Linked DNA regions of Lytechinus pictus. The protein of the gene in region 1 binds, or shares a complex with, the protein of each later gene. Links are inferred from orthologs where the notes say so. Each region holds a gene or a part of one and is shown on either strand. Other genes may lie near its edges.

Region 1 (8,384 bases):
GTTTTTTGTTATTCTGAATTTGCTTTTTTTTAAACCAAATTTAAAAGAAATATTTCAGTGTGTATTTTCATCAACTTTAAATCTGTTTGTACTTTATTTATTTCTTGAATGGCTTTTTTTTTGCTATATGCTCAAAAGAAGTATGTCTTCCAGGTGGCAGTAACTGAATGAATTATACCAACTCTTAAATTAATCACCAAACAACCAAAGATAGACTTTCTTGATTTCAACAGTTGCATTATGGTGTATTCACAAACAGATAACTGAACACACATTTGCAGGTACGCCTGTATTGTTTAAGGAATTCTTTTTTTTTTAAATAAACATTAATTTTCTGTCATTTTTTAAACACAAAAAAATTATACCAAAAAACATATAGGCCCTAAAGAAACAAATAAAACAGTTGTTTTACAAAATAAATATAGGGTTGAGTCAATACGCCTAAGTTCACATTTACTCCTCTCAATATGTATGATTTTGGAGAGTACGTGTGGGTGTGCGAGGATGTGTGGGAGGTTGTGCGAGGTTCTGAGTGTGTTTGTATGTTTTTACATGTATAGTGCTTCTATCAAGAGGGACACACAAGAATCAAACACACACACACACACACCAGCCACCCTGATTCAATAGTCACAACGACGGAACATAACCCAGACCAACCAACCAAACCAATTTCCAATGACCGTCGGTCGGTTCGAAGTCGGTTTCACTGGCGAGTTGTCGGATGTGACAACTCTCCTTGGTTTTGATTGGCTGAGAATCACTGTTGCTATGGTAACCGTCAACTAAAATGGAAGTTGTCGGATAAAACGTCCCACAAATCCTTTCATGAAACGCTTCCCAGATTTTACAATCAAACAATAAACAGAAATTCAATTTCAGTTTCAATTCCAATTCAGGAGTCAGGACACCGAGAAAGGGAAGGAGAGAGAAAAGAAAGAAGAGACAGAGAGAGAAAGGGAGATGATTTGTGGCTCAGGTGGGTGGTGAAATGAGTTGCTCTGATCAGAACAGATGGGGTTATTCTTGGTCGCCATGGTAACAGAGTGGAATGAGGATATGCTTTGAGCTGTCCAGGAATTAATTTAATCATCTATAAAATTAATTTGAAGTGCAACAGCCTTCACCAAGCTCCAGACAAATCACACGCAGCGTTGTATACTGCTTTCTCGCATGGAAGCCATAATCGCTTTGAATATTACCAATGTCAATGACCTTTTTTATAAGCCGACGACTAACGTTTTGAAAATCAAATGAATACTGCCATCAAGGAAAATTGAATATGAATAAGATCTCAAAACAAAGAAAACAAAAAGTGAAATGAAAGTATATTCATTTCCAATTTGCTTTGGGATATGATTACTTTCCATAATCAATACCGTTTTCTTGTGCTATCAGTGGTCAGGTACGAGAAAATACATTTTTTTAAATGCAGACCTATAGCACATTCTGTTGCTTTTACAAGCCACGCATTTCAATAAGATAAGATAATTCAGTATGCAAATTTAACCCAAGTTCCAACTTTTTTGCTCTTCATCACTCTCTGCTTGTTATGCTTCCAGTCCCATATATCTCTCTATTACATTTTAGCCAATGTTCATTATCAATTTCTGACAGTTTTACCCCTGGGTGTTTTCCCCTAGTAAATTTTGGTTATTGATCCTTCTAAAATATCGTTTACAAGATTTTGGTTTACACCACATGCACACATAAAAGTATGAAAGAAACAATTTTATTAAGGAAAGTAAGACTTTGCGTGGATTAGTAAACTTACATTTTCATATTCCTCTAATCCAAAGTTCTGCTTGTTCCTCATTGTTCGTTTAGCCAGGTAAAGAGCTGTACAGGGAAAGAAAATACGAATGAGTTTATTATTCAAATCTAAATGTTAATATGACCCTAAGAAAATTTTGTGAAATTATGAAAATAATTCATATTCCTCTCCTTGTTACACTGCGATAAATGTAATCAATTATAATTACACTTGTTTCCCTCTTCATTACCTGGAACTTCCTACCCCCCCCCCAACCATTTGCCCCTCTCCCTCCCTTCCCTCCCCCATTGCTTCTCTCTCCCATTGCTTCCCTTCCCTTGTTTTCCATGCATGAGAGTTTCATTCCTATTGACTTGTTTGCATGACCAACTAAATTATGATTTATGTAAATGTGTACATGGGGCATCGGGTATTGATTGAAGGTGGGACAGACGACATCACAGTCACACACAAATGTATATTTTCCCACAATTTTTATAATTTTAATCACCTTAATGAACTTAAATAAATTAATAAGGGTCTAGATTTAAAAAAAAAATCATTATGTTTGTTGTTTGTTGGAAATTAATGGCGACCAGTCATATTTGACTATTACCGCCAACTCGTTTGGTCAACTATTATTTTCTTTCTTTTCTTTTCAATTAGCTTTGAATTCTAATATAATGCATTACTTACAAAGTGTGGTGAGGCCTGACTAGCACTTTGGCTACTTTTTGTTTTTCAATTTACTATGTATATAATTTTTCTTATCTGTAACTTTTCTGTGATTTGTTTCATTAAAACCTGTAAATATACAAATGGTATTATAAATGAATAAGTGAAATGAAATGAAAAAAAAATGTTTGCCAACAATCGGCTTACCATAATCAGTATTGTCGTGCGATCGATCCTGTGATGTCCAGAAGTAGGGACTTTGGAATCGATAGAGTGTATTGTCTTCTTTGATTGACACTGTCTTTGTAGGTTCAACGGGATAAATATAACCATACTGAGATAGCAGAGTGGCAAGATGGGTCGCTTCCGTCGTACTGTGAACATCTAATAATTTAGTGATCCATTCTATTAAATCGATACCTGAAGGGAGGATCATTTCAAAATTTGTTATTATAAATACATATCAGTTGATAGCAAGAGAATCATACTTTTCTTCTTTTTTACAGTAATTTGTAATGCCGATTTACAATTTTACAAAGAGAACAATAACTTTTAGGGTATCGTTTGGCACTTCATACACCACCAATTTTTCGTGAAGTTACTCGTAATTTTAAAAACATTTTTTTCAGAAAGAACTTCTAGGTAATCATTTGGTACATTATCACTCACCAGTCATTTGCAACTTTACACAAAGTTTTTAAGCCAGTAACTTGTAAAATATTGTTTAGTTACTTTAGCACTCTATACACTAATCGTTAGTGAAGTCATTCGGTACTTTGTACAAATTGTTTCGTGAAACCAGGTACTCACCCGTGAAGGCACATGGAACTGAGGTAAGAAAGACCTTCTGTGGACGAGTTGGGATACCATGATCAGCATGCTGCATACCACGTATTATCTTCTCAATCTATTGTGACGTCAGAAGATGGACATCCGTCACGGTTAGATAAACATGCAAGGAAACATAGCATTTTCAAGAATTATTCATGTATCTTGTATGTTGTATTCTGTGTGATCAAAACGTCATAAATCGAGAAATATATCCTCGAGGAATCTAAGAAAATTAATAATCAACAAATCTCCAATGTAAAGTTAAACTATAATTGAGCAAAAAACTAGTATTAGGCCTACTATAAAAACATAATAACTAATTTCTGTACTTTTCATGAGAATATTGATTTGAATTAAGGCCAACCTTTGAAAAACGGATTTCACGTTTTAGCTGTGTACATTTTCAATAACAAAAAAGAATTTCCATTTGAAACGGAATAACATGTTTTCAGAAACGGAAAGACATTTTTTCAACAGAAAATCACTGCCCATACTCCTAATACAGATTAGTTTTTATCATAGCAATTCGTGATACATGTAGTTTACTTTACTTTCGACCATTATGATTACGAACTTTTTGCTTGGCACTATTTCACCTTTCCAGCTATAGCTTATCAAACTTCATTACGATCCAAATAAACCAGGATTTGCTTGGTTTCTCTTGTTGTTTCACACCGAGCAGAAGAATGTATTAGACCAGACCTATACACTACAAAGTAAAGCATGAATAATCTGTTCAAAATTTGAATTCATTAACCTATAAGTCCTTCGTTTGTTTGATTCTTGTGATATCAATTAGTGTTTTCTGCTTTTAAGGAGATGGATGGTAGTGTCAGATTTTCTGTATATATATTTATATATATTATATATATAAATATATATATTTAAGTTTTTCAAATCATCAAAAATCACAATATTTACAAAGGATGTACATGAATTTCGTTAGTAGCCGTTGTGTTTTTATATTATCTTTTGTTAGTAGCGTGGGAAATCCCTTAGTAATGAAGGAAACTCACTGTAACTCATTAACCACCCCCCCCCCCAAAAAAAAATATAGAAAATAAGGGGGAAATATTGTATGAGTATTTTCTACATGGTGAGAAACAAAGGTACCTCTATTGCATGGAACCTTAAATCATTTTATTGGTATATAATAACCGATCAGTCAGCTAAAAGATCGTGTTTACAACATGCAGACAATAATGATATTAATCAAAGAAGAATTATAGATTGAATGTGCTGAAATGGTAATATAAACGTTCATTCACCTATCTATTCATTTCGTCATTCATTTCGTCGTTATAACCCCATTTATGAAAGGTTTTCAAGGTAATTTATACATGTAAATACAACGAGAAAGTATTTTTTAATCAAACGACTGAAAACATTTAAATTCCGACTGATTGTGAATAATAATTGTTGTCGAATACTATGGGAATTTTGACTTGTGAAATCTACATATCATTTAACAATGAATATGCAAACATGGGGAATTTAATTTTCATACAATGTTGTTTACTATATTATGAACCTTATACAAACAACTAGTTTCTTGAATAGTTTAAACAAGTGTATAAAATCTTTTAAAGGTTTAATTTTGATACGTAATTCTCAATAAATTAAGCATGATTGTTTAATAGACTGCAAGTTTCATGTGAGCAGCGTTGTATGAAATTATAAACAGCGCTCTTTGGGCTGTGTATTATGATAATATCAAATATAAACTTCTCATATTAACATTCAAATGTATTCATGGTATTGCCCCTGCTTATCTTCAAGAACTTGTCCAAATTCATAAACCCAAGCGTAATCTCCGTTCTGGCTCACAAAATCTTCTCTCTGCAATTACTGTCAAGACCAAATCATATGGGGATCGGGCTTTCCAAAAAGCTGCACCAGCACAATGGAATTCTTTACCACCGACATTAAGAAATATTACCCAGCTTGAGAAATTCAAAGTACAATTAAAAACCCACCTATTTCAGAATGTTTAATTTAGTCACATGTAGGTCCAATCCATGTTTAATATTCTTTGAGCTTATGTATAATTATTTGATGTCTAACTTTTAAATTTACAATTCTCACCACATTTCTCGCTTTCCTCGCGCATAGAGACCTGGGGCCCGTTTCATAAAGGACTTGCAACTGTTGTAACTTTGCAGTTATGGCAACTACCATGGAAACATTGATTCTGATTGGCTGCTGAGCCCTGTTACCATGGTAGTTGCCATTATGGCAAAGTTACAACAGTTGCAAGTTCCTTTATGAAACGGGCCCCAGTAGGTGTTATGCGTATTTAAGAACTGTACTATTATTTATTATTATTATTATTATAATTATCATCATAATATAATTTGTATTGCTGTTATCCATTAAATGCCAGCACGTTCTTGGGTAGTAGGAACTATAGGCCTCAAATTATATATTTGTATCCTTAAGTTAATAACAGCACAATATGGTAAGTGAGTGTACTCTGCAGTATTCATGCATGCATTTCATATGAGCAAAGACATCCATCATTGATACTTGCTTAGATTTGATTACAGTGTGTTGATTTGATAGTGGTTTGAATGGGTGTATAATCCCATTACACACTCAGTAACAAAGTAATGAGAGGAAACGTATGAAATTGAACGAGCAATTTAATAATCGAATCAAATGCATGCGCGGGAGCGCGTGTGACAGTGCTAATTTCAAGTAGCGACCAAGCAAACCCTTATTAGCAATTTCACCAATTTAATTTTAAATTTATACAAAAAAAAAACAGTGCCATCAAATTAATTGAAAATTGAATTCCATGAAAACACTTACATATTACGTTACCTCGCAATGCAATGTGTTTTATAACACATTTTGGCCAAGAGTGTATCTGTTTATCTTCTAATGGAGGTAGAAACACATGTTGGGTTGGTAGGTATTTGTTATTTTTAAAGGTATGACACTAAAGAGCTCAAGGTTGTTCAGAAATATATGTCTTCTGCTCATAATGGTAAATATTCCATTTTAATTTGTCTAATTTTTATCAACTTTATTTGTAAAAAAAAGAGTGTAGAATTTTAAAAAATGAATGAATAAATGAATAAACTAGCATGAATAATATGAGTAATTTGCGTCTTTTCATAGCAAGTTTCCTGCATTCTACACTGTTCATTCCCCGATGTTTTATCTCTTCTAGATGATGATTTATAAACAAAATAGTGATGAAAGGCCATTAGCGAGATGTCAAAAAATGACGTCGCTTCGAGTAACAATTAGTAATAATGATAATAATAATAACAACAATAATGTTAGTAATAACAATAATTTAAAAAGAGCTTCACAATTAAAATAGTTTTAAATGTAGGCCCTACAAAAAAACAAAAATGAACTTTAATTTATATAACAAAAAAATGAAAGATCAAAGTCACTGTAATAAGAGATATGTTGAATTTGCCTTTTTGTCTTTAATATTGAGCTGAACAATGAAGGCCGTCTTGCCGCTCCCCCTCCCCCCCCCCCCCATTTCTTATCAATATAAGGCCTATATCGTTTTATTGATGAGTTTGTTCTGACTGATGTTTCCTTTTCTGTTTTATTGACAGTAGGGAGGCCTATATCTTCCACATGTTAAAAGTATAGAGATACCCTTGCTTTTTGCCTTTATTTTCAAAATCAAAATCAATAAACGTAAAACAAATTTGGAAAGACGGTAACAAGAAGAACGCATGTCGATACACGGAAATTAAACGTGACCATTTTTAACACGCTAACTGATACAGTATCAGCTCCGATATTCTTCCCTTTTACTGATGTTGGTGATGCAAGAACTGTTTCAATTGCAATTGTAGATGCGATTTGCAGGGGCTGCGAACCGGGGAGCAGGGGGTATTCCCCCACCCCCCCCCCCCAAAAAAAAAAAAAAAAAAAATCCTCGGAGGAAAAATGCCCCTTTTCAAACTAAAATACCTTTTTGAAAGAAAATGTTATATATTTTAGGTCAGAAAAATAAATTTTCTTGCTCGCGCTTCGCGCTTGTATGAGTTATTGTTTAGTAAGGTACTCATCCTGTTTATGGTTTTAAAAAAATGCTTAGAATGTCCAGGGATGGTATTCTGAAAGCGTTCCTATCTAATATATGCTCTTATCTACGTTACGATCTGAAATTGGTATTCTGAAAACGTTCTTATCTTTTCTTGCTTTACTACCTATGCTGAGCGCGTAAATTTATAATTTGCGAATAAGCGCGCTAAAGATGGCGTTAAAAAGATTGTCAGAATAACGATTTTCAATGATTTTAGCGTCTTCTTATTTCAATGAGATACGATAAAAGACAAGAACAGAGATAAGAACGTTATCAAAATACCACCCTGATTATTTAGTGTGACCGTTGCATTGCAGTCAGCGAATCTTTATATGTATACTGATCATCATTCTACTAATAGAGAGTTTAAGCATTTTGCTCTCTAATGGTGGACGACTCATTACTACTCTGGCTCCTCGGGTTGAAGTAGTTGTGGTAATTTACAAATGGATACGGTACTCGCTCGTATGCATGCATGGTGCCATGGCAACGCCATAAATTTTCGAAGTAATTATACAAGCCCTCCGTGCTCCAAGTTAAACGACACACTTGAAATGGATCAAGGCATATTTCCCCGATATCTTCCTGCTTCCCTTTACGGGAATATAATTCTCATTTAACGTGTGTGCACTCGATCCCACGATTGAAATTTGGAATTCAATGGCAAAGATATTTTGAGAAGTTATCATTATTTCCTAAATTCGTAACATAAATAATTGATCAGTATTCGACTCATACATTATTTGTTAATATACTAATTTTAGTTATATACCACATGGTTCTTTTTTTATACATTGAATCCATTTTACAACATTTTTCTACATAATATACCTCCCACTATATCAGTTCTGTTTAATCAGGGGCGACACAAAAGTATTCGAATGGGGGGGGGTGTGCAGACGACATCGAAATTACGTCATTTAATTGAAATGAGTATTGTATATTTCCGTGACCCAACACTCTATCCAATTCTCTTCTTAAATTTTCTCCTTTTCCCTCATTTTTCACACCCCTAATTGTTTTCTTGCTTGAAAAAAAAAATCATTAAGTGGTCACCCCTGCCCC
Region 2 (8,233 bases), on another chromosome or scaffold:
GATTTTTCTGTTTTCACACAAGCTATCCTGTTCCAAAGGTTTCATTCTAAAATTTAAAAAAGTAGACCCTAATATTGGGAGAAAGGAATAGAAAGGACATGAACAGAGTGTGACACTCACTAGACAGGAATAACCATTGTTTCTGGGGATTTATTTAAAGGAGAATGAAACCTTTGGAACAGGATAGCTTGTGTGAAAACAGAAAAATCAAAGTAACAAATCAACGAAAGTTTGAGAAAAATCGGACAAATAATGAGAAAGTTATGAGCATTTGAATATAGCGATCACTAATGCTATGGAGATCCTCACATTGGCAATGTGACAAAAATGTGTGATGTCACTCATGAACAACTCTCCCCATTACCTTAGTATATATTTCACTTAAACTGCCTCTTTTATCACATCTATCAATGGATCATGTGTTCTTTCTACAGGAGGGCATGTAATACAGATTTTTAAAGAATACATCATGGATAAAGAGTTTGTATCACCATTAGAAAAAGCAAAAAGATACATTTTGGGGGTATTTTATAGTCCATCATAGGGAAAGTTGTTCACATGTGACATCACACATCCTTGTCGCATTGCCAATAGGAGGATCTCCATAGCATTAGTGATTGCAATATTCAAATGCTCATAACTTTCTCATTATTTGTCCGATTTTTCTCAAACTTTCTTTGTTCTTATTCTTTGATTTTTCTGTTTCGACACAAGCCTACTTGTTCCAAAGGTTTCATTCCCCTTTAACAATTTCTGACATTTTACTATTATAATCCCCATTATGTATTGGTGAGTGGAGCCAACGCAGTTCAGCGGAACAACCAAAATACAGAGACTGAAGTAGGGAGTTTGGTGACTTTTTGAAATCTTGAAGAATCCCAACAAATGTGATACTGATATCATTGGAAAGCTTGTGAAATGAGAAAAATAATGGTGCTTCATTCAACTCATTGTCTGATATATTGACGGAGATATTCCAATTTACAGTGGAAAATATGCAGATTTTGTTCTGTCAAAAAAAAATATTAAATTGAAGGCTTGTTTGAGAGGGGGAGACAGTTGCTTTTTGAAATCTTGAAGGAATCCTAACAAATTTGGTACCATTGGAAAGCTTGTGAAATAAGAAAAAGAATGGTGCATAAATCAACTCAGGATGTCAAATATTGACAGAGATATTTCTGTTTAAACGGGAGAATGTGCAGATTTTTTTACAGCAAAAAGTAGATTTTCATAACTTACACAAGATGCAATGAATGGGACTGTGTAATACTTTTTTTTGAAGTGCAATGCACTGCTATGCGGGGCAAGGCATGCCCTTGAATTATACATCATTTTATTCATAAAACTTCAAAGTTCCTCATGGTATAGGTTTCTATAGTATAGGGTTCTTCCTCCTCCTATAATGACTTCATATTTGTTTTATATTACAGGGGCCCGTTTCTCAACACCGTCATAAGTCTAACTTCTTGACTAAATCGGAGATAGTGAGCTACTTGTCCGCTAACCGTTTCACGAAGCCCTCTTTACCAAGATCGGGTACAACAACCTCACTAAATATTTATGACACCTCCGAACCTGTCATAACTTCTTTCTTAGTGACGTAGTGGCATCACGTGGGTAGACTATGACATGCGAAAGTGCCTAGAAATTTTAAAATTATAATCTTACGTAATCAATCATAGAGGTTGAAATTACATCACAAAACAAGTGGGTTAATGCATTCAATGATAATTGTAACACAAAGAAACTATAAAAACTGTTGGTAAACGCCACAAAACCATTCATTTTGAAATAGTAAAATGATTTAATCGATCAAGATTCTACCACGTCAGGCCATCCATAACTGAACTCGTATTTGTTGTTTTCAGACCCCTATTAACAGTTGGATAAATTCTATCTCTAATTTATGCATATAATTTGTCCAATATCATATCTTTCGGTATCAATGATTAAAAATGTTTCGTTAAACTATATTTTGATGACGTTTGGAATCGTAAAAGTCCGTATAATTATCATCATTTTACAAAGAAAACTTTTATGGTTTACTTTTGTAAACTATTAAAATTGGGTCTCCCGGGGGTACCCATCTCAACGTCCGCAAGTGATTCTTTAGTCATGAAATGAATTATTCATAATTTAATTTTCTCTGCAATTGAATGCTCCAGTCTTCATGGTCTAAGTATGTATGATGCATAATTCACCTGTGCTATTATTTTGAAAAGATTTATTTCCCAATTCATCATAATATTTGCAATTTTGTCATAATTTTTCTAATTGAAAATTATGCTATTTTGTGACTAAGGCTACGTCTCGTCTGCTCTTTTTACCGATAGTATCGATATCAAGGTATTCTAGTTAAGAAGCCTTTCGAGAAACAGGTTTAGTAAGATTGGAACTAACTCCGTGGTTGGTGGATAAAGATATGACTAACTTGTCCATGTGTTGAGAAACGGGCCCCTGGCCTATAACTTTTTTTACATGGCCATGGCATGGGTGCACAGCCACAGACAGATACAAATTCTGAAAGTGGCATTTTCACCGAACTCCCTAACTGAAGCTTTTGGTCTAGACACTCACTTGCTCAACAGCTGCAGCTAGATCTCAGTTCACATGAATGATTGAAGCAAAGCCAACTTCAATTTAAAGGTGGCTCTCCCCAAATGGCAAGAAATGACGACTCGGTCAGCTAGTGTGCGCCTGGCTGGGCGGCAGCACTCATCCTACGAACGAGGTCGGTAGTTGTCAGATTCCGTTTATCAATTTCAGCATTGACTTGCATGCTCAGCGCATCAGACTTTTGCTATCAAAAACGCAGTTCTAACGTTAATTGAGTTTAACAATAAAATGATTCTGGCACCATGATTCTTAACATTCATTCAAAGGCAAGATTATTATGGTGGCATATTGCAGAAACTACAGATCCCACTTCAAGACAGTTCAACCTCAACCGCATCACTCCATACATTAGCATCTTCTCGAGATCGTCGTTTCGATATCGGGTATATCCATAGAGATGTATACATCTATGGGTATATCCCGTTGATCGTTTAATGAACCTGTACGTACCTACACAACTAACTCGTCTCGCGCGAGGATATTTATCAGCTCTAAAACAGTAAAAATTCGGAACATACTCTTCATCCTCTCGGTACCAATGAAATGTTGCCTCAAAGGAGGGGAGGCGGGAGGGGGAGGCAGGGTTCTGCCACGTGAATGCAAGGGCACCCCCACACACACAAATATATATATATATATATCAGGGGCGTCGATCCATTTTTCAGATTGGGGGGGCGAAATCATTAACGTTCCAAAGGCGCTCGATCGTACAAAACACCCACCCACACACACACACACACACATACATATATATATATTTTTTTTTTTTCAATATGTTTTTATTAAGGATTTCATTCAAATGAATTACATAAACGGCAGATAAATACAAAACAAAATACAAATCTTCATTTCATATCAACAAGGATATGCAAAAAAGTACATATATATTTACCAAGAACTGAAGCAAATAAGGACGGAATGAAACTCCTTAAAATTATACTTTTATATCTGAAAAAAAAATAACTCAACTGAGTCCCCAACCCTCTATGTATTTCAATAATAATTAATGTTAAATGGCTATATAAATGATTTGCAGAGAACAGAAATCAACCTAAATGTATTATCATTGCATCCCATTTTAAATCAAGCTTCAACATAACTTTACATAATTATACACACATACACACACCCACCTTAACACCTATACACACATGCACATACCACGCATACGTAAACAAACATAATATATACAAATCTGCATAATGAACGTTTAACATTTTGGCGCAATAGGATACAGAAAGAAAAAAAAACCTGCAAATCATATTGATACAAGAGAAGGGGAAATTGAAAAGAACTAGTAAAAAGAAAAAAAAAACATCAACATACACACCAGGATTCACACTCGCACCACACTAGACACATCCCACCTGTTCACATTCAAATCCCTTTTCACCTTCAGTTCATCCCATTTCTGCAAATGTAAACTTAACTTGCCTGACTTCGTTGCCAGGCGTCTTTCTTCTTCTATACAACCCGTTATATATTTGTGTATTTTAATAAATGACGGTACCCGGCCTTCAGCTCTGGAATTAAAAATTGCATATTTAATAAAAAGAATAACAGAATTGACACATTTAATTCTACAAGAATTTCCAGGTAACCCTAAGAATATTTCCCTCCAATTCAAAGTTCTTAATTCAGCTAAACAAAAATGATCAATACAAAATTGCCAAAGAGGTTTAACTTTTATGCAATCCATGAGTATATGAAAGTACGATTCAGTTTTTGTACAACCAAACGAACAATAATTATCTCCCACGAAACCAAATCTCATCAAATGCTCTTTTGTATATATTGCTCCATGTAAAAGCATAAACTGAAATTCCCTTTGTTTTCTTATAAGAGTTGTACTCCTGATATATTCAAATAATTTACAAATTTCTACATCAGTAAAATCAAAATCACTGTGACCATCCTTAAGTGTTAACTTGTATAGCTCTTGTAGCTTAGTAATAAACAAGTTATAAATTGTTTTTGATTTAATTACTTCAAAAGCTGTTTCCTGTTTTCCAATATTCATACTTATCCCAAAGTCTACCAAATCAATTTTTTTAAACTTTATTAAACTATTAAAATTTTTCCAGCTTGCTGGTATAACGTGCACAATATCTATTATTTGGAGAAGTTGATTTGCGGTAATACCGAGATTTTGAAAAAAAGTCACAGGCTTCAAGTGGCCATTATCAAAGATTTGATCAACGCTAAATATTCCTTTATTAAAAAGATCATTGTCAAAAATTGTCAAAAATCATTGTCAAAAATTGTATATATAATATATATATATATTATATATACACACACACACACACACATATATATATATATATATATATATATATATATGTATGACTCATGAGACACAGACACGTATCTCACTACACAGATAGTACGAGTGCCGAGAGTGAGCTCAAATTTCTTTATATTCTGAGCTGAAAACTTGATATTCTAAGCATTTTTGGTACCAATGATTAAGATTTGTATCTAAAAGAGAATAGATGCGAGCGCGAAGCGCGAGCTGAAAATTTTGATATTTCGATCTGAAAAAATGACAGTTTACTGGACGTTTTTGATAAAGAACAAGCTATATATCCAAGAAAAGATGATTGCAAATTGAAGCAGTTCTTTTGAGGCTTAGAACTGAAAATGGGACATTTACATTCACCAATTTAATCATGAAAAGTATGGGTTTTTGCTACAGAAATGATGCGAGCGCGAAGCGCGAGCTGAAAATTTTTATATTCCAATCTGAAAAGCGGACATTTTGAGCACGATTTTAAATAAAGAACGAGTTGTGTATCTCAATCTCGCTTGCTGAACATTACAATCTTGTTTTTTTTTAATGCATATCCGGAATTATTGGGGGGGGGGCAAAATGATATGTTTGCCCCCCCAATATTTGTATTGGTGGGGCGATCGCCCCCCCTGCCCCCCCCCCCCCCCCCCAGGATCGACGCCTCTGATAATGAGAATATGGGATGAGGCGAGGCCCGGGGCGAGGCCCGGGCGAGGCCAACTCAACAGATGACGCAGGACACCATTATTAGTTGGCCTCGCCTCATCTCATGTTTAATATTCACAACTCAACAGCGATTGGTAGAAGTAAACTTATCATCACACTATATATATATATATATATATATATATATATATATATACCGTATATACAGTATATATATATAAATATATATAAATGTGTAAAGTTATACATTTACAACCTCTTTGGCAACTCTTTTATTTGAATATTGTAAAGAAATGGATGAAGAGAACAATGGTAAGCGTAGCTTAAATCAAGGTTCCCCAGAGCTATCTAACCTTTGGAAAAATTGGTGATGCCGAAAAAATGTCCCTGCCGGGAATCGAACCCGGGCCCCTAGCTTTGAACGCCGGTGCCTTAACCACAAGACCACAGAGACGGGTTAGTGGCTAGGGCGACCCCGATCCGATTGACCGTCAGATAGACAGATTTTTGACACTATACCAATTATAATTTCCTTTGTCGTGTGAAGGTGGCTTTCGAACAATGACAAGCCGCCATGCTTGTCTCTGTGGTCTAGTGGTTAAGGCACCGGCGTTCAAAGCTGGGGGCCCGGGTTCGATTCCCGGCAGGGACATTTTTTCGGCATCACCAAATTTTCCCAAAGGGTAGATAGCTCTGGGGAACCTTGATTTAAGCTACGCCTACCATTGTTCTCTTCATCCATTTCTTTACAATATTCAAATAAAAGAGTTGCCAAAGCTGTTGTCCATGTATAACTTTAAACATTTATATATATATATATATTTATATATATATATATATATATATATATATATATATATATATATAGTGTGATGATAAGTTTACTTCTACTAATCGCTGTTGAGTTGTGAATATTAAACATGAGATGAGGCGAGGCCAACCAATGATGGTGTCCTGCGTCATCTGTTGAGTGATCACGAATTTCCTTGTTGACCATAATAGATTGCGAGACAAATGAATACCCTCTAGCGATTATTTCATTCCGCAATAATGAACCTATTTAGTACTATGAATATTTTTTTTCACATTTTACACTTCTATTTAATTCATTTTATTTTTTCAAGTCTTATTTTAGATAATGAACTATATGCATGCTGCCCTTTTCCACACCAATTTGTTGTACTCTCTTTTTGCTGAGGCAATTCATGTGCCCGCTCTCCTGCACACTTCTCCCTCTCTCGATCCACTCCCTTGCCTTTCTTCTTCATGCCCTTTTCCTAGCCCTACTTCATTTCCTGTTTTGTATTTGTATTGTAGGCTATTTGTGGTACAGGCGTATATATCCCATGCACCACAAGTTTAGCGTTTAGGGAATGGCGCCGTCTTCTGTTAACAGATCTGTTAACAGATCTTTTTTAAGTATATCTACGCTATTTTAATTTTGTATGGATTATATTGAAAAATGTGATATTTTGTGAAGATGGAAGAAAATTAATGTTTTTTTTTTATTGAATTCAATAATTATTTTCAGCCCGGACTAGCCTATATATACCCCTTTCAATAACAGCATCCGCGGCCTTGAGTGGACCGAGTGTGAAAACCAGCCAGCAATATCCATACTTTTTTTTACTTCAAAACGGATATCAGTGGCGTAGGCCCTACAGATGGGGGAGGTTCTTGGCCCCCCCCCCCCCCACAAAAAAATCACGACCAAGAAAACAAAGCAGAGAAAAGGAACTTGGAGAAGCAAAGAGAGAAGGGTGAAATATTGATATAATTTTCTAAATGTTACGTCAAATTCTATATCACAATTTTGAATTTTTGCAATAAAATTGTCGAAATTTTTGCTCGCTCGCTTTGCTCGGAACTTTTTATAACTTTTGCCCAATACGTCAGCATACATTTCCCCCTCAATTTTTTTTTTTGGGCTCATTACGCTACTGACGACATAGACAAGTTTGAGCTATTCGTTCAAAATCTGTAATTGAGAAAAGAGTGATTTCGATATAGGGCAATTAAGGTTAAAGACTATAATGCAGACAACCCTTTTCTGCAATTGGAACTACACAAGGCAATATTACAAAAGTTTAAGTAAGGTAACATGATAGAATTCATCATTATGAATCTTGGTAAAAATCGAAATTATTTCATACTCCCAACTCATTTGAAAACTTGCAGGTAATGCCAACAAGTGTGCTCATGTCATATTTTTGGTTTATTGTTATCCCTATAAATATTAACGAAGATGCTAATGAAATATATTTGTTTCCCCAATCCGTTAAATCGTGTGCATTTCTTCATGTATTTTATTTAATATTCAATTAGTTTCTTTACAGAAATTCATTTATCTAATAGTACTAATTTAGACTTAAATTTATTATTTACGAACCGGGGATGGGGTTGACATAAAAATCACTTGTATCTGCAAAATGAGTGAAATTAAGTTGACAAGATACATCGTATAAATAATTCAGAAATAACAGTGGGCCTAATATTGAGCCCTCGGGCACTCCACATCTGGCGGCGGCTTTTTTTTCTTAACTCTGATGTAATAATTTTTACGGTAGCAAATCGTTTAGAATCAAGTAAATAACTTTTACACCAATGTGATAAAAACACCACTTATATGCGATAATCACTGAGTCAATGAAACAGAAT

What was found. The genes of interacting proteins can lie anywhere in the genome.
Region 2: regulator of G-protein signaling 11-like (region 1) and regulator of G-protein signaling 9-binding protein-like share a complex: the UniProt entries of both Homo sapiens proteins name them as parts of the RGS9-1-Gbeta5 complex. The link is inferred for Lytechinus pictus from reciprocal best matches to the Homo sapiens genes RGS9 and RGS9BP.

Annotation. Positions count from the first base shown.
Region 1 is NC_087254.1:35,610,619-35,619,002, forward strand, and holds the start of regulator of G-protein signaling 11-like, read right to left. Parts: upstream 3,332-8,384; 5' UTR 3,315-3,331; coding exon 3,239-3,314; intron 2,849-3,238; coding exon 2,636-2,848; intron 1,840-2,635; coding exon 1,775-1,839; intron 1-1,774. UniProt on the Homo sapiens protein: Inhibits signal transduction by increasing the GTPase activity of G protein alpha subunits thereby driving them into their inactive GDP-bound form. Binds to GNAT1. Involved in phototransduction; key element in the recovery phase of visual transduction.
Region 2 is NC_087249.1:10,164,931-10,173,163, forward strand, and holds the start of regulator of G-protein signaling 9-binding protein-like, read right to left. Parts: upstream 3,020-8,233; 5' UTR 2,578-3,019; intron 1-2,577. UniProt on the Homo sapiens protein: Regulator of G protein-coupled receptor (GPCR) signaling in phototransduction. Participates in the recovery phase of visual transduction via its interaction with RGS9-1 isoform.